Linked DNA regions of Struthio camelus. The protein of the gene in region 1 interacts with the protein of each later gene in a pairwise test. Links are inferred from orthologs where the notes say so. Each region holds a gene or a part of one and is shown on either strand. Other genes may lie near its edges. The genes, in order: PRTFDC1 and MCMBP.

Region 1 (8,844 bases):
TGTTTGAAACATTCAGAATTCCTCTGCTTTGCAGATTTTGTTCAAATTTGCTGTAGCTTAAAAAAAAAAGTGTGTGTGTGGAGGGGAAGCCAAATGAACAACTTCCTTAGGAAAAAAAACAAAAACAAAACCTCTCTCTAGCAGTTAAATTCAATACATTGGGTGTGACCCACTATAAATTTACAATTTCCTGACTAGTTTTCATGGCCACAAGTGATGAATTTGTCACAGGATATAACATGAAGAGCTTAACTGGATAATAATGCTTTATCATTCAAATGTGTATACTTCTCATTAGCTGGTGGGGACAATATTTCCATAATCCTATGAAATAAATAAACATTATTCTAATATTAAAGGACAAAAGGAAACATTTGTTTGCATTTATTTCAACTATAAAAAAACATTATATTAATAACATAAACCTGAAAAGCAGAAACTGTATCTTCAGGAGCCAGGAAATTGCAAAGTGAAGCTACTAGTTGCTCTAGTCTCACACAGTGAGATGAATAATAAACAAAAATGCAATTTTGTATTAAAGATGTTTATCATGGAACAAATAAGTCAAAATTCAGAAATCCCTCAAGCAGCATCTAATCCTGATTTAAACACCATATTAAAACAGACTGACATCTCAATAGAGGTTAACTGTAATAGTTGAATATTCTGAATTTCACTTTTAGGTCTCAGAAACTGCAGTTGTTTGAAAGCTGAACTTCCCAATGTTCAACGGCATTCTCTGGTTCTGCTGAAATTGAAGGTGGAAAGAAGTTAGATTCCGGCTTGCAGTGCCACTCCATTAGCTGCTTTATGACAGTAGTTGCAAAGGGGAAATTAAACAGTGTCTACGCTACGCAAAAAAGTAGGATGCTACCCAGCTAATCTGCCTAATTGGACAGCTTTTCCCAAAGTGTCCCCAGGTTCTTGAATGTAGGAGAGCAGTTTGAAGTACCACTCCTTGTTGTGCAAGGTGTCTGTTAACAGTCTGGCACATAGTTTTTGCTGCAGTCCCGCTCTTCAGCAGCCACCCTAAGGATTTGGGAACTGCCTCAGGTAATGCAAGGTAACTCGGAATTCTGGAATGTATTAAAGTTGGATATGAAAGCAATTCTAAACTGCTTTCAACATACCCTGAAGTATTTATCTGGTACACTTTACTTTTTAGTATTCTCTTCAGCGATTATCTTTCTTACCTAAAAAGGTAAGCATCTTTCCCTGCAGCAATAGGGGGATTCACCTACCTTGTAACAGCCAACAAATGCCGCTTTATGCTTGATAAGATTGTTTACCGTACTGCTTTTTGTGTAAGAGCTGCAGCAACAGGCAGAACCAGAATAAGAGCTCTTACTTCATCCCTTAATTGGCAGGCTTCTGCCCAGGTAAGCCATACCTCTTGAAATATTCTGAACTTTCATGTTGTTTTTTTTTTATTGTTGGTGTTTACTTGAAATAAGTAACGATAAGACATCCGCTATCTCTTACGTACTGAACTGAGTTGTCAAATCTTTGTTATAACCTCTCAGGAGAAGAATTTATAATGCAATTGCAAAAGCTAACTGGCAACTCCATGATACTGTTTTGTACTACTTTCTCGATATATACTCACCTCCAACCTTCTGTTTTTGTTATTTCTTTACATTATAGCTGTGAAAGGGTGGATACTACATGTGCTGCTTTATGATCATCAGAAGCAGGATAAGAGGGGAAAGGATGTGTAACTGAAATTATAGAGTTATTTTTGTAGAGGCCCAAGGTGTAACTCCTTTCACAAGAGATTTGCATTTAAGCCATAACTCTGCTTTGCTTCTGTCTGTGTCGCTTTTTCCATCTGTTCCTTTATGTTTTTTGGCTATGTGTCCAGACCTACTTGTTAGTATGAGTTCACTGTTCTTCTACTCTATTTTCTTTGTTCTTTTCCCCTTTGATCATTTCCTATGGTTGTATATCTGAAAGTGTTCATTCTTTTCCTACTATTTTTAGTTTGTAAACAAACATGTAAACAAAGATAACAGGAAGGTTCTTCAGAACTCGTACAATCTTTTTCAAAGTTAAGGCTGATAATCCTGTTTTGGCTCTAATTAAAAAGGTTTTCAAAATCTACTGTAAACTTATGAATGGTATGCCAGTTCAAACTGTAAAAGCCTGTGTAAACTTTCGGTACATACATATACCTCCATAGGAAAATCCTTAGCAGCTTCATTTCCATCATGCCCAAAGAACCTTCTATGGGTTTCCAGAAGCACAATTTGTTTTCTCATTTGTACCAAAACTGGAAAAAAAAATTACATTTTATATTATGTCAATGAGTAGTCTTACATGCAGAAGAGCAGTTTGATGGATTGGACTGGTGGCTGTTGATAGCAGCACTACTCTTCAAACTGTACCCCAGCTAAATTTATTTAGTTTTTCATTTCCATATTCCTATTTATTATTATTATTAGCAAGACATGACACTTCTTTATGCTTCTGAAGTGAGCCCAGTAAAACTATTGGAAGGGGAGAATACCAAAAGGAAGGTTTGACAGAACGCAGTCATCCAACCTGGACAGGAAGAACAAACATTTCCTGTTTAAGTTTATCAGCACAATGCCAGAGGAATTTATTTTTCAGTCTCTTGTTCATGATAATCTTTTCCAAATCTCTGAACTACTGTCTGTGGTGTTCTGTCTGTGATGCAGTTAGAATGCTCTCTTGTATTCCTGTGGTCCTATAAAAGACATGGTTAAGAGGCACAAATTCTGTAAAAATAACCCAACAAATTCAAATGGTAAAAGAAACCAGTAGGCATACAGCATTGGCAAAACGCTGAAATTGTAACTGTAATCTAAGCAGCTTTAAAACTGTAGAGCCCAGTTCCGTGATGTTTATGCAGGAGAACTTTATCTGTAACATGGAGGTAACTGAATCAGATTGCATTCACTTTAGGATGCATGTGGGCTTTAGATGGGCTTTCTCCACACCTTCAGGCAAGAAAAATCTTCAGATCTTCAGAAGTGCTTGTTTGTACAAATCAGTGGCATTTGATCCCAAAGTTTAGATGAAACAGTAGACTTTCTTTCTGAATAGTTGTAAGAAATATTGACATGCGTCAGAAACGCAAAAGGATTTAGGGATTCTCCATATTATGAAGATCTAGATATAGCTTACAGAAATAATTTTATTTACTTGATGTAGGTTTTTACAAATCCGTACATGCTCTTTATCAAATTCGCCACCTTTCGCTAAGCTCATTTTAAGACTCTGTGAACAGATAGAATCTTTTTCCAGCACACCTCAGTCTTCATATACGGTGATCGCTTCCAAGACAGAAATACTCTGGATTGAGCCTCTGTCACTCTGTAAACCTGGTCCTTTGTTCTTTCAGCTATGTTGTCAGTTGTGATAGTTCTTGTAAGAGTAGGTCTGTAACCCATTAAAAAGCAAATATTTTGGTTTTTTACAGGAAACAAAGCAGTCATCACAAGATAATTTTAACTGCCACTATAGTTTAATCTGCAGTGGACTGAGAGGCTGTTAGCATTTTCCCCTAAAAGACAGGGTACAAAAAAGATAGAGCAAGTCCATCAATTTTGAGCTTCTTAAATGGAAGCATTAAAGGTAGACAATGATCAGAGTAACCCAAGAGAAGAAGGAAGCTTTCTCAGCTGGCAGGTTGTAAAAGCAAAACAGCAATACTGACAATTTTTGCAGAATCAAAATCATCACAGAATCGGAATGGCCTCCTGAAATGCTCTCCTTTTAGTGAACAGACAGCACGAGGAACAGAGGCGGGCTGAAGGAAACGGGAAGCCACAGCTTATTGCAGCACGGAGGGGAAGAAGGGGCAGCAGTTCAGCAGCCAGCCGGGAAGGAAGGCAGGATTACTGACGTGCTGCAACCGCCTGCTTTCTGGCCTCCTTTACTTCCCTAGGATATGAGCGCAAACCTGCTACAATGTCAGTCTGAACCACACCGGTTTCATTCAACGCAGGCAGCTCGGGACGCCCAGGCCCGCTGCCTGCCTCCGTCCGGCCCCCTCGCCTGCCGCCGCCGCCGCCGCCCCGGGGGGGGGGGGCGCCGAGGCTGCTCCCTCCCCCTGCCGCGAGAACGGCAAAGACACTGCCGTTTCCTTCCCGAGTTCGTTGTTAACAGCTACCCTGTGACGCCTTACGTATGCTTTAGCACGTTATCATCAGTATTTTCTCCGTTAAAAAGAGACCTCTAATGATTAAGCTTTATCTTGTCATAGGAGAAGACGACGGAGCTTGTCTGAGGCTCCTGTCCTCCATGCTTCAGCCTGCGTCGGGAACGTTACTGCCTGCGTAACTCGCGCGGAGAAGGGAAGCGCTGCGGGGCCGCGCAGCTCGGCCCGGGCGACGGGCGGCGCCGGGGGGCGGCGCGGCTCCAGCCCCGGCCCGCCCGCAGCAGCGCCGGGGGCGGGCGCGCAGCAAGATGGCCGGGCAAGGCGGGAGCGGCGCGGCGGCGCGCGGAGGCGGAGGCCGCGGCGTTGTGGTAAATGGACGCGTCCGCCCTGCCCGCGCTGCTGCGCGCCCTCCCGCCTTCCGGGCCGCCTTTCCCTCCCTTCCCCGCTGCCCGCCCACCCCCGGTGCAGCTCCTCGGCCGCCGCGGCGCCCCCGCCGGCCCGGCCCGGCCCGGCCCGGCCCGGCCCGGCGCGGCGCGGCGCGGCGCGGCGCGGCGCCCGGGGCTCCGCTCCTTGCGCCCGTGCCCCGGCCCCGCAGCCCGAGGCCGCCGCAGGCCTCGCCGTCGCCTCAGGGCCGCGGCGCCGCCTGCCGCCCCGCGCAGCCCCGGCCCGCCGGGCCCTCCCCCGCCCCCTCGGTGTCTCCCTGTTCGCTTGTCTCTCTGGAGCGTCCCACCCCACCGCGCCTCGCACGGGTCTGGCTGCTGCAGGAGGAAAGCGAGCGGCCGTGCGCGAAGGCGCTGCCGGGCTCGGGGCCGGCCGGGCCGCCTCGCCTAACGCGGCCGCGCCGCGGGCTTCCACCTAGAAAGCCCCATCCGTCCTCTGCGTCGTCTGCAGCGATGGCTTCGGCTGTTAGATACGTCCCTGCTTGAGTAACTGAGCAGAAGATCCCCAAAGGTGTATGAGTGTCTGGTGCGCACTGGAAAGCTTAGATACCTTTGGGGAGATCTGGGAGCTCTGGTAAAAACGCCCTGCGAGGTTGTCCGTATTTTGTTTTTCTGTAGTAGGAAAAATAATGCATGTGGCCTTGTGTTCTGAGTACCTATTAGGTTGAATAAATTATGCTAAAAGCAAAATATATATATATATATTCATTATTCTGAGGGACAAAGCAGATTCTTCTGTAAAACAGATGTCAAACTCAGGGGTTCTCACCACTTCAGAAACGTTTTTATTTCAGTGTAGTGTGGGTGTTTTAACCAAATTCCAGAACAACAGTCCAAATTGTAGCCCAGAGCTGAGAGTTTTGCTTAGGTAATGGTTAAATCCTGCCTGCCCCAAAGTCCCCTCCATTTCCCTCCTCCCCAAAATGGCAGAATTATGTTTGAGCTGTGCCTGAAGCCGCTGCGTTCCAATTGTCACTTGTGACACCTTGGTAATAAATGCCATTTTTAAAGTGGATGACTGTGTTTAGCACCAAAGCAAACTGGGGATCTTGCAGAGGAGAGGCTGAATGTTCAGAAAGCATGTTCTGCTGTACTGATTTCTCTTCTTTTGTTTGATACACACACGTGCACATGCACCCTCATACCTCTGCCTCCAGAAACCAAAAGTAAGGCTAATGTAGTATGATATAGTTTAAGTTTACCAAAGTTGTAGTTTACTTGATGCTCAGCTCACTTATTTTATACTAAAGCAGAATCTAGGTCTTTGTTACCTAAGTGGAAATATTTACTGTGCTTAAACGTGATGTGCACCCACCTTTTGTACAAAACTAGCAACGTGCTTCCAAAGGTATTGCAGTCGGATTTCTCTACTTTCTCTCGTGTGCCTCAATATTCCTCATATTCCTTCATGCTCCTCATGATGGAACACTTTCAGACGTTGCCATGTATTTATATTTTTGATAGTATACATTCACATCAGCTCTTTAAGTCTGAATTTCTGCTGGCCTGTTTGAACATGCCAAATCTGAACTTAAAAAAAAGCTGTTTGTTGATTTTACTATATGGCTTTTTACACACTTGTATTGCAATATGTGTAGCATATATATCTATATATATTTTTTTCTCTCTTTTTATTGAAGCAGTCACATATATTTTCTTATATATTCTATGCTTAAAGCCAGAAGTAAACAGAAGTTGAGTTTAATTTGGGTTGGGACTTTTTTTGATACTTAGCTATATAAGCTGAGGACAATCACAGATTTTTTTAATTCTCATGTGGAATGCTCTTCCAAATTTACAGTTACCTGAAAATTGTCCTGTAGCATAACACTGTGGACAGCTTCAGGGTAAATTAGAATTCCGAACGCTCGTAATTGGTTAGTGCTTGTTTAAATGAAAGATGAGTGGGGAATAGGCTTATTATATTAGAAAAATAATAAATTGGAATGCATGTGAATTTAATCTTATATACCAGATGCCAGTGAGCACTTTTACAGGATAATTTCGTTATCCTTTCAAATTTATATTCTTTTATTCAAAAGAACCAGGAAGATTGATAGAAAAATCAAAATTTCATCCTAATCTTGTTTCATAAAGGACATACTGTAATTTAAGTAAAAGCTATTGGTTTGTGTGGTTTCTCAAGCCGTTTCTAGTCGTTTAATTTAGTCTTCTACATCTAATCTTAAAAACCTCTAATTTGATGAGAATGCTGCCTAAATAAGCAATACTGACATGGGTTCCTAGTGTGTGTTAATAGTACTTATGCAATTAAAAGGAAATTTTAAATTGTTTCCTTTAAATATTAAAATACTTTTGAACAAAATCATGCCAGACAGTTCATTGCTACAAAATGCTTAAAAAGCGTCAGCTGCTCCTAGGTACTGCACATGAAGATGGGAAAACAACATAGAAAGGCTTGCTAGGCCTCCTGCAGCAGTGTTTTTGTAGCGAGATCTGACCCAATTAAAAACTTTGACAATGAGGGTATGTATGATCTACTGTTTCTATGGAAATGAGGAATGTAACTAAGTAACTCTTCTTTTGTGTCTGTCTAGTTTCAAGGCTCCTATGGATCAATGGAAATACTTTCATTGACTATTGTTTTCTGAATCATGTGCAATATTCAATAGTACTTACCAACAAATAACTTCTTTTGATACAGAAACTATTGGGCGTGCCTAGACTGGCATGACAGTCTAGGCATCTGTAGATGCCAATGAATATGCAACCTCTCCCCAAATTAACCTATTAGATGGAAGACTTTGTTTCAGTGCAGTATTAGCTGGGTAACGTCAAAAAGACTGCAAATCTGGAGGAACAGCTTAACATCTAATATGCTGTGTCAGTCTAGTTATTTTTGAGACGTGGTTTATTGTCCTACTAGATGAAATAGTAAGCATAGGTTAATTTCAGTGACAATTCTTTAAGGAATCCATTTAGCAGAAATGCTATTAAAAATACACTTCACAAAGGCAAGTCTCTCACCTTTTATCTTTCTAATCAATGTTCATGGGCCTGAGCTGTGGAAAGAAGAAGGCAAGTATGTTGCTCAAGGAACGTGATGGTAAAGCAAACCTAATAGGTGTCACTTTTTATTCTGAACCAATCTCAAAACAAGAGCTCTAGAATGATTCCAAGAAGTCTCATGAACCTGGAGGTGTTGTTTTTCATATTGACGTATATGTGAAAATTGTGGATTTGGAGTTTGTTTAGTTTTTGTTTTTTGTTGAAGTGTACTTTGCATCTTCATAGCTTTCTGAAGGCTTTCTGAAGCCTTTGCCCATTGGCCAATTTTTGTCCAACATGATCTCTGTAGTCTGCTGTTGCATTTTATGTGATCTCCTAAGCGTAGTGCTCTGATAGTTGTGAAGCTAACATATTAAATCTGTAAAAGATTTGTTCAGTAAATGTATGGCTTTGCAGATTATCTGATAGTAAAGTGAGATGAGAACTTTTTTAAACACTTACCTTTGGTGACTTCTAAATTAAGGACCTCACCATTCACAAGTGGTACAGTCTTCCATTGACTTGTACAGATGCAGTCTGTGAATCACATAATTTATTCTCCCTTTGTGCTCTTTTGTCTGTAGAATATATATTTATGTGAGATTCTAAAATATCTCTAAAACAGAAATTCACAGTTTTAAAGTATGATTTTGTGGGTTCTAAGTCCCACTGGGTGACTCTCCCATTGAAGATTCTCTTTGTATTAGTAGTCTTACATTTGGATTTCTAGTTTGAAAGTAACAAGAAACTTGGACCTGTCACTAGTTTAGTATTAACTATTTCCCCTTTATGTCTCGGTGTTTGTAATTTCAAGTGAAATTTCCCGCATTTTGTGGGAAAAGAAACTAAAATGCTCTTCTGGAAAATTTAATTTTAAAAAATGATATTTTTTCCAGTATTTGATTTCTGAGATATACTAAGAAGCAAAATAATTAGTAGGAAAATTGATATGGTGAGTTTTGACTGTATCTACTGCTGATCACAAAATTTTGTAGTTTACCATTTGAGTGCCACTGTATACAGAAGAGAGTATGTCATACAATTAACTCAGCCAGTATGGTGTACCAGAACACTGATTTTTATGTCAGTTGCATATTGTCAGACACCATGAAGCAGTCTTAACAGTACTATTTGGTATTCAGATTTCAGACAACTGGCCAGGATATAGTCTGGATTTGTTCACTTACCCTCAGCACTACTATGGAGATCTGGAATATGTGCTCATACCTCATGGCATTATTGTTGACAGGTATGTGTGCCTTCAATGTTACT
Region 2 (9,378 bases), on another chromosome or scaffold:
TGAAGAGATGCTAAGTTGTATACCATGAGGAGAAGACCATCTTGTGGAGCGAGGCTCTGCAAATTGGCACAGCCAAATCAACAGTATTTCTGTCCTAAAAATAGGATTTTGCCCTTCCCTTCCTCCTTGCGCTTAGCCAGGGTCCCATTCCTTTCCTTGAGTCAGCTCCAATGCTTGTCTCTAGTGCTCAGTCCTGCTCAGCTCTGCAACACCGCAATTTACAGTATACGTTTGGTAAACTGAAATTGGTTGCAGTTTGCCTTAAAATGCTGAAATCAAGTGCTTACTTGTGCAGCAAAAGTAAAACAGACAGCTCTAGGTGGTAACATCCTCAGCAACCACAGCTCTTATGTTTCTTTTGGAGGGAAAAAGGTTCCCACTTACAAGGCATGGGTTCACTCTCCTGAAAGATATGCTTCTAGAACTATTTATGGGAGCACAACACAGAGGAGATCACTGAAAAGACTGTTGTTAAGAGATAAGCCTCAAAACAAACAGCATTTTAACTCATTGACCTCATTTCACAGTGCAGTGTCATAAACTGCTGCCTCAGCACAACTGAAGGCTCAGCAGTACACAGCTGAAGTTAGGACCTTCCCAAGCCAACGTAGCAAAGAACCCTGCTTCCAGGACACTGGAATCCCTTTCAATTCCCCCTTATGCCTACCAGGTGCAAAAAGATCCTTAGTCGACTTCCTTTCACCATGAAAACAGCCTCTAAGCACTTCACCTTCCAATTTTTTAAGCTTCCAAGATCAAATTCAGAGGAGCTTAAGAAGATTCCCCAATAGGCCACATCTACTGGTTAAGCAGTGCGTTCTCATCTCCCCCTTCAGAAGGGCCCTCTCAAGATTCCCCATTTGACTTGCAAGGTGGCAAAAACACAACAACCCATGTCATTAGAAAAGCACAGTTTATTTCAGTTCTGTCTATATATCTTATTCTAGAGTGGCACAAGAGCTACATTTCTGGTCCAGAGGAAAACAAGTAACTGCAATAATTCCAGGAGAGGGCCTAAAAGGTGCAATGCCATATGCCTGCCCTTTTGCATCAAAAGGGGAAGTATATAAAACCAGGTCCCGGTCAAGTAGAGTTTTCTGCTTTGCAATGATCCAGTAACAAGCGACAACCAAGCGGTTTGACATTATTATAGGTCTCACAGTAAGCTCAATTGAACCTGGGACGATCTGAGCATCGCCACCCACCTGCTGAGGGAACAGCCTCTTCTGAGCAGCCAACACAATTTACAGAAGTCATAAAAGTGCTCTCATCTACTCTAGCAGTTAAATAATCCCCAGACTGTGGGGAAGAAATTGCTTCGAAGAACGATCATTGCTTCTCTGCTACTCAGTCATTAGCCAAAGAAACAAACTAAACATCCCTGCAGCCACAAGCAGTCAATAACAAATGTCTTTATCTGCAGCCGAAACAGCTAGAGTATCAAGGGAGAATAGGGGAATGCACAGAGAACTCAAACTAGGAAGCTGCTGTTCTAGTTCATTAAATGGAAAACAAATAGCTGCCATCACTAAGACCATTTTAACCATCTGCTTTTATTCAGTTGCCCTTTCAGATGGTGTCAACTGGCCAATGCAGATGATGCTTGGTGTGTTATATTCTATTTTGAGGAACAAAACATCAAACCTATGCATGCAAACGATCTTGTGGAGAACACTAAATTTCATTTATAAGTAATGACCATTATAAACTCAGGCATGTGAATTACCTTCCAAACAGAAGAATAGCCACTTATACTATGGTCTTTGTTTCTAAATATTCTCCTTTCATATTTGATAGACATCATGGAATAAAGAGCAGCGTATCGCATACCACACAGTCAGGTCTCCACTTTCCAGAATGCCCAGGAGTAGAAGAGGTAATACATCTCATGGCAATTTCAGTGCACTGCTACGTGTTAATCATAATCTAAAAAAACGAGTCAAGGCCTTTACCAAATGCCTGTGCACAAAACACCTACTATTCTTCAGTTTCGACTAGTTCGGGGAGATTAAGTGTAACAGCATGTTCCCCTGAAAAACAGGGAGTTGACTAAAGTTCTCCCAAAACAAATGTATGACAACCTTCTGTATCCCTCACAGACATCACCTTCTCATTCACAGATCATCCTCTGACAATCACAAGTGACAGATTTCCACCTTCTCATCAGGAGTACTCTTCTCTATTTAAAGTATATTGGTTACTTCATTTGCATTAGAGCCTGAGAATACCTCTTTTCTCATCAAACTGCAAAGCACAAAACACTCCTTACTCACTTTTAGAGATATAACAGATTTATCAGTGCACAAATCTTCCAGACGTGGATGTCAGAAGCAATTCCCGAGACCAGTTTCCATTACATTTTACACCATTTAGGATTCAAGCTCAATGGCTTGCTTTTCCTTGGTTCAAATTAGGGTTCAAGGAGCAAACTACTCTCTACAGGTAAATCCCTATTCCCATTAGGGAATTAGGGAAGGCAAGGGACCACAAAAGCAGAACACTTAACAGGATTGAGGCCCTACTTGGATAGATACAATGTGTGGCACATCCTCAGCAGGAGACCTTTGGCATTGAAATTGGTTCCAGTTGATTCTCAGCCCTGGTGAGGCCACATCTGGAGCACTCTGTCCAGATCTGGGCTCCCCAACACAAGAGAGACATGGAACTACTGCAGCGAGTCCAGCAGAGGGCTACTAAGACGTTTAAGGGACTGGAGCATCTCTCTGCAATGTGCCTTCTAGACATTCTGTTCTCCTTTCGCTCTACTGTTACCCAGTCAACATACTCCATCCTCTTTCTCATTGCCCAGTCTCAGTTCCCCTCCTTAATCATGCTTCTTCATTTCCTCTACCTGCCCTCAGCTTTCCTCCCCTTCTTCTTCTAGTATCTCCCTGCCCCTTTCTTTTTGGCGTTACCAGCTATGAGAAACAACACATTCCGGTCTAAGTCTACCCAGCCACAGTGAGGCTGCATCTGGAGCACTCTGTCCAGTTCTGGGCTCCCCAACACAAGAGAGACACGGAGCTACTGCAGTCAGACCAGGAGACACATTATTAAGGGACTGGAGCATCTCTCCTGCGAGGAAAGGCTGAGAGAGCCGGGCCCGTTCAGCCTGCAGAAGAGAAGACTCAGGGGGGAATCTGATCAACGCGTACAAGTATCTGAAGGGAGGGTGCCAGGAGGATGGGGCCAGCCTCTTCTCCGCGGTGCCCAGCGACAGGACGAGAGGCAACGGGCACACACTGAAACCCTTCGTCTGAACACGAAGGAAAAACTCCTTTGCTGTGAGGCTGACAGAGCACTGGAGCAGGTTGCCCATGGAGGTGGTGGAGTCTCCTTCCCTGGAGATACTCAAAAGCCGTCTGGACACAACCCTGTGCAATATGTTCTAGGTGACCCTGCCTGAGGTCCCTTCCAACCTCATCCATTCTGTGAAAAACTACGAATCTTCATCTGACCAGCTTAAGTGAGATAGAGACTACATGTTCGATCATAAATTTTGTTATTGAAATCTCATCCTCAGGTCTTCTCCATAGCTAGCTTCAAAGTCATAGAGGAAGCTGACACAGGAAAGCCATCTCTGCAAAGCTACTTAATAACTATTTTTTAAATGAAAAACATTGTATAGCGGCAACAAGAACTATAAGGATTGCACAAGTGGAAGTGGTGCATGTATCAGCTGCCTAGATACCTCACACAGGTAGGAGCGATATTCTAGTACTTTACACTACTCAAAAAGGCAGTTCAGTAGATATTTAAAGAATAAAAATGAAAAAGTGTTTCTAAGCCATACTTAACAAACATGTTTTTAAAATTACAAGGATTTACTTCATTTGTTTCCAGGCATATTAACACTTATCCTAAGTAAAATACAGCACTGTTGAAATCAGCTCTTGAATTCTGGACTCAATATGTGCCAGTCCTGTGAAGCTTAAAAATACTTGATTTCTAGATGCATTTTTACTGTTTAGGGCTTTTAATCTTAGACAGAACACACTTCCAAAAAATCTGTTCCTGTATCTGAAGTCATCTGAGCTTCAGTTTTAAGTTGTACGTACATAGGTTTGACGTACCATCCAGGCTTTGCAAGGAAGTGATATTAATCACCTAGCCTAAGCAAACAAGGAAATTTGAGGTACCTGCTTAGCATACTATTTTCAGGCAGGGAAAAAAAAGACAACGTCAGAGAGTCCTCTGAAGACTATTTATCCTACAAAACTGAAGTAAATGCCACTTTAAAAAAAATGCAATGCAGGAAGCACTGTCTGAACACGAAGGACAAACTTCTTTACCGTGAGGCTATATTAAATAGTCCTCTGCACAGAAGCATCAAAACAAAATTAATTGCTCAAACAAGAATGCTAACCTGTTAACTGGACACACGATAAAGCCTCTCCCCCTCTCTTCAGACACAGCACTAAAACCGAACACTTCAGTATCAAGCCCATGCATGAAAACAGCATACCTGAAGGAGCCTGTCTTCCCTAAAGCACCAACTCCAACAGCTGCCAGTGAAAACCAGCTCAGAAAACCTCACAGCAAAGCGACTACAGCCAAACAAAAAACTCGGCCCTCGCTAGGGAAGGGTCGAGCCAGCGTGAGGAAGGAAGCCCACCTTCCTGTTTGTTGCTCGGCGGACAGCAGGACCGGCGGATCCAAACACAGTTGCGCAACACAAGCAAAGAACAAAAAAAAAGAAAAAGAAAGAAAAAAGAGGAATCGCCTCTCTGTCCCCTCCCCCGCCCCGAGCCCGGCCACGGAGCGCAGCGGCCGCCCCGCACCTCGGGGCCTCCGGAAGGCTCCCCCCGCCCGGCCCCCGGCCCCCGCCGGGCCCACAGCCCGCTCCCCCGCGCCGGCGGCCGCCCCGCCACCCCTCGGCCCCCAGCGCCCCCGTACCCGCCGAGAGGACAGCGGAGTCCGGCGGCCCGGCTGGGGCCTGGCTGACCGGGATGAAGGGCACCGTGAAGTTGAACTCGGTGGCGGAGGAGGAGAAGAGCAGGTTGGTGCCGCCACCACCGGCCCCGGGCTTGGCCGCCGCCATGGCTGCGCTGCTTCCACGTCTCTTCCCTCGCGGCGGCCCGGCCCCTTCCGCCCTCACCGCTGCCCGCTTCCAACATGGCGGTAGCGGCGACGCGCTCCCCCCCCCCCCGCCCCGTTCCGCGCACGGGCGCGGAGAGGAGGAGGAGGAGGAGAAAGCGGGCGGGGCGGGCCTGGCCCAGCCCTGCTCTTCCCTGCCCTGGTGCCGCCGCCATTGCCGCGGCCGCCGTCAGAGGAAGAGGAGGAGGAGGAAGGCGGAAGCCGGGCGCCCCTGTGCAAGGCTTGCGGGCGGGAGAGTGTCGGCGGCAGCAGCAGCAGCGGCAGCAGGGTGCGAGGCCCCGTCACTGACGCGGGGGAGTTGGCAGCGGCCCCCCCCCGCCCCGTCCCTGGGCGAGGCTCGCCCCGCCATGCCGTGTGTAGCCGACTGGCTCAACAACCCCTTCAGCATCGTGCAGGGCATCTTCGGTGAGCGGCGGCGGGCCGGGGGCCGGCTCCCTCTCAGGAGGCGCCCGTGAGAGGCCGGGCGGGCCGGCCTGGGCGGCGGCGGGGGAGGGCCGGGGCCGGTTCCCTCTCAGGAGGCGCCCGTGAGAGGCCGGGCGGGCCGGCCTGGGGCGGCGGCAGGGGAGGGCCGGGGCCGGTTCCCTCTCAGGAGGCGCCCGTGAGAGGCCGGGCGGGCCGGCCTGGGCGGCGGCGGGGGAGGGCCGGGGCCGGTTCCCTCTCAGGAGGCGCCCGTGAGAGGCCGGGCGGGCCGGCCTGGGGCGGCGGCAGGGGAGGGCCGGGGCCGGTTCCCTCTCAGGAGGCGCCCGTGAGAGGCCGGGCGGGCCGGCCTGGGGCGGCGGCAGGGGAGGGCCGGGGCCGGTTCCCTCTCAGGAGGCGCCCGCGAGAGGCCGGGCGGGCCGGCCTGGGGCGGCGGCGGGGGAGGGCCGGGGCCGGTTCCCTCTCAGGAGGCGCCCGCGAGAGGCCGGGCGGGCCGGCCTGGGCGGCGGCGGGGGAGGGCCGGGGCCGGTTCCCTCTCAGGAGGCGCCCGTGAGAGGCCGGGCGGGCCGGCCTGGGGCGGCGGCGGGGGAGGGCCGGGGCCGGTTCCCTCTCAGGAGGCGCCCGTGAGAGGCCGGGCGGGCCGGCCTGGGGCGGCGGCGGGGGAGGGCCGGGGCCGGTTCCCTCTCAGGAGGCGCCCGCGAGAGGCCGGGCGGGCCGGCCTGGGCGGCGGCGGGGGAGGGCCGGGGCCGGTTCCCTCTCAGGAGGCGCCCGTGAGAGGCCGGGCGGGCCGGCCTGGGGCGGCGGCCAGCGGCAGCCGGCGGCTTCCCGCCTCGGGCGCCTGAGGCGCGAGGGGGCGGTGTGGGGGCGGCTCGGGGCCCGGCCCCGCCGCGGCTGCAGGGTTAGGCAGGGAAAGGCGTTCCTGCGGGAAGGGAAGGGGTGAGTTTGAAACGGCTTGCGGCGTGAGGGGAACGCCGGGTAGATGCTGATGCCGCTGTCAACGTGCGTTGTGTCGTAGCGCAAAATGATCCGAGCTCCGACTGGGAGAGGAAGGTGACCGAATATTTCAGAGAGAAGCTGAAAGAAAACAACGCTACTCACTGGGTAAGGTGGTTTTTATTCTGGGAGCGTTGCGCCGGTGCTAAGTTTCGCCCTTCTTGCCTCCTGGTGGCCGTGGCGCCCGGCTTCGGAGCAGCCCTTCGTCGGGAAAGGGGCGCTCGGCCCCGGGTTCCTCGGAAGCGCGCTTCTGAATGTTAGGCCTAGCCTTTGTAACGCGCTGTTTACGTCTCCGTTGGTAGGTAGGTAGGTAGGTAAAAACGAAGATGTAAAATCCTGCCTCAAGCCACTCCCCGTGACTTTCGGGTGGTGTGTGGGTTTTTTTTTTTTTTTTTTTTTTTTTTGGCCTCGGCCGTCGCCGCCGAGCGCCGCCTGTTTGTGGCGCCGCCCAGCAGATGGCGGGAGCTGACTAATGAGTGCTGGTGTTTCCTCAAAGCGTGATAACTAACGGGGGTTTGTGGCCGCCGTGCTGCGGCGGAGGTTTGTACGGCGCCGGGGTCCCGACTGCTGGGCAGACACCCCTCCGCTCAGCGGCTGCCCGTGCAGCGCCGTGACCTCCCTGGGGGCTGATGAAACAGCTGCTTGGTTTTTCGTCTTTGAGGCAGAGCGGGGGCGGGGGGGAAATACCATCTGCCTAAAAACTGTTCTGGATCAGGCCAGGTTTTGAAAGTGCAGGAAGGAAGCTCTCCTTTATTTTTAAAGCTAAGCAGGCACGCTTGAGCTCAAAAGGTGATGCTGTTCTGAAGGGCTGTGGGGAAACGGTGTCGTGGAGCTCTGTCCTAGTTGGACTAGGAGCTCTCAGTGTCGAATCTGTTCTATTTATGATTTAAAAAAACAAATACAAATAAAATTGTTTTTTTTTTTTGTTTTAATTTTTCTGCCAGTGAGAGAGGAATTCTGTGTTTGAGTGTCAAGGACAGTTTAAATCATAGTGTAGAGGAATAATTCTGTTCCTCCAGCAGAACTGTGTTAAATTTGCAGCAGTAGAAGGAATTAAAATAAAAACATATTTTCTTACTCAAGATGAACACGAGGGAGTATGTGAGTTGTTGTTGGTTTAGTTTTTTTGTTTGTTTAAGTCATTTTTACAGGGCCACTTTTGGTTTCATGTCATTTTAACGTTGAGTGTGATATCTTAACCAAGAGTTTATTTTAAAAACCAAAAAAAAAAACAACCTTATAGCAGGTCTCATTATTTTGATTTGTACTATATACCTGGACACCCGTTTTCCTTCTGCTTTTCTATTATCATATAAATATATGCAAAACAAACTCCCCCAGTGTGAAGGACTTTCAGATTAAGATACAATTTTTCTTCCTGTCCTTTTGGAAATACAAATATTTTGTTATAAGAAATTGTGCATGCAATTGCTGCAGTATCACTGATGCATGATGCATGGTCAAAGTGTTGTTAAATGGGAATAAAATAAGTAATAAATTTTATCTTAATATTCAGTTGAAATAATCCCCAAACTAACATTACAATCTCATATGTTGTTAAAGAGTTTACATACAGTTTCAATGAACTGAAACCCGTTTGTTTAGTCTGATATTGGAACTGAGAAATGAATGAGACTAATGGCTTTGCAACTGGAAAAATTTGGGAACTGTCAGTGTATGATAATCGTAACTATTGCCTCTAACAGCTACTGCAGAAACTTCCAGTGGTGTCAGGTATATTGTTACCTCTTGGACTGGGGCAGTAGATTTGGGGGCTAGGTGTGGGGAGAAAAGTACCCAGAAAATACTGAATCTGTTATGTGATGAGATGCTGAATTGTCAAAGGCAATTAATCTTATTGTCAATAAAATAGGCTTTGAGGCAAATAAAGTCAACAGCAGGAAACACTGAATGACCAGAGAATAAATTGGTGACAGCTTATGTGCAGTTTCTGGCTTACTTCAGGGCATTTCTCAATATTTATATAGCAGTTGTTTAGAATAAGCTCTCTTTTTCAGGTTCCGTCACTAAATGATGTTCCCCTACATTACCTAAAGCCCAACAGCTTAGTGAAATTTCGCTGCATGGTTCAAGATATGTTTGATCCTGAGTTTTACATGGGAGTCTATGAAACAGTTGATCCAAACACAAACATGCGTGTAAGTGAAATACTGTTTTGGTAAATGTTTAGCATTTTCTTCATTCCGTTCTTCATGCTTCTCTAGTTTTCTGAGTTAAACCTGTGGAGTCCAGGCACTGTCTAGTATTAACTCTATTTAAATAACTCAAATGGCATCAGTAACGTATTGCTTCGTATATTTCTGTTTATGAAGTATTGAAAACAAAATTCGGAAGGTTATTATTGCAAATGTAATTTGAGGGAATCAAAATTACTAAGGTAATGAAAGTTTGAGCAGTATGTCTTTGAAGGTTTTTAGACTGCAATAAATTTGGTGCAAGTAGTCCATATTCAGGATGTACTGGAAACGGAATAATTGCGTTGCTTTTGTCTTCTTGACAGGTTTTGCATTTTGGTAAATACAGAGACGTGGCAGAATGTGGGGTAAGTTATATGTTTTCTATATCAGATTTCGAGATGAAATATTATTCAGACAGAAAGATGCATTTTTATAAGTGCAGTATAATTTATTTGGCACTCATCAGTGAATCTCTGGAGATGCCGTTCTTAAAATTCCAAATTAAGCCCAGGTTTGGAAAGCAGAGAACTCTTAATTGCTCCTGTGCATGCTAAGTTCAGCAGTCTTCAAGCTACTTCCGTAGTATTTAAAGCTTGTTTTGCTTTTATATGCTGTTATCTGTGGTCGTTAGTTTTGGCCACTAATTCTTTGCCAAGAAGCAGGCTAGTGGAAG

Evidence for each region.
Region 2: the proteins of PRTFDC1 (region 1) and MCMBP interact in binary tests that used the Homo sapiens proteins (3 or more experiments, as listed by UniProt). The two-hybrid records come from large-scale screens. The link is inferred for Struthio camelus from reciprocal best matches to the Homo sapiens genes PRTFDC1 and MCMBP.

Annotation. Positions count from the first base shown.
Region 1 is NC_090943.1:20,348,323-20,357,166, forward strand, and holds the start of PRTFDC1 (phosphoribosyltransferase domain-containing protein 1), read left to right. Parts: upstream 1-4,405; 5' UTR 4,406-4,431; coding exon 4,432-4,491; intron 4,492-8,714; coding exon 8,715-8,821; intron 8,822-8,844. UniProt on the Homo sapiens protein: Has low, barely detectable phosphoribosyltransferase activity (in vitro). Binds GMP, IMP and alpha-D-5-phosphoribosyl 1-pyrophosphate (PRPP). Is not expected to contribute to purine metabolism or GMP salvage.
Region 2 is NC_090948.1:6,958,626-6,968,003, forward strand, and holds the start of MCMBP (mini-chromosome maintenance complex-binding protein), read left to right. Parts: upstream 1-5,444; coding exon 5,445-5,502; intron 5,503-6,529; coding exon 6,530-6,615; intron 6,616-8,525; coding exon 8,526-8,686; intron 8,687-9,028; coding exon 9,029-9,070; intron 9,071-9,378. Other genes in the region: SEC23IP (SEC23-interacting protein), read right to left, coding at 4,897-5,041. UniProt on the Homo sapiens protein: Associated component of the MCM complex that acts as a regulator of DNA replication.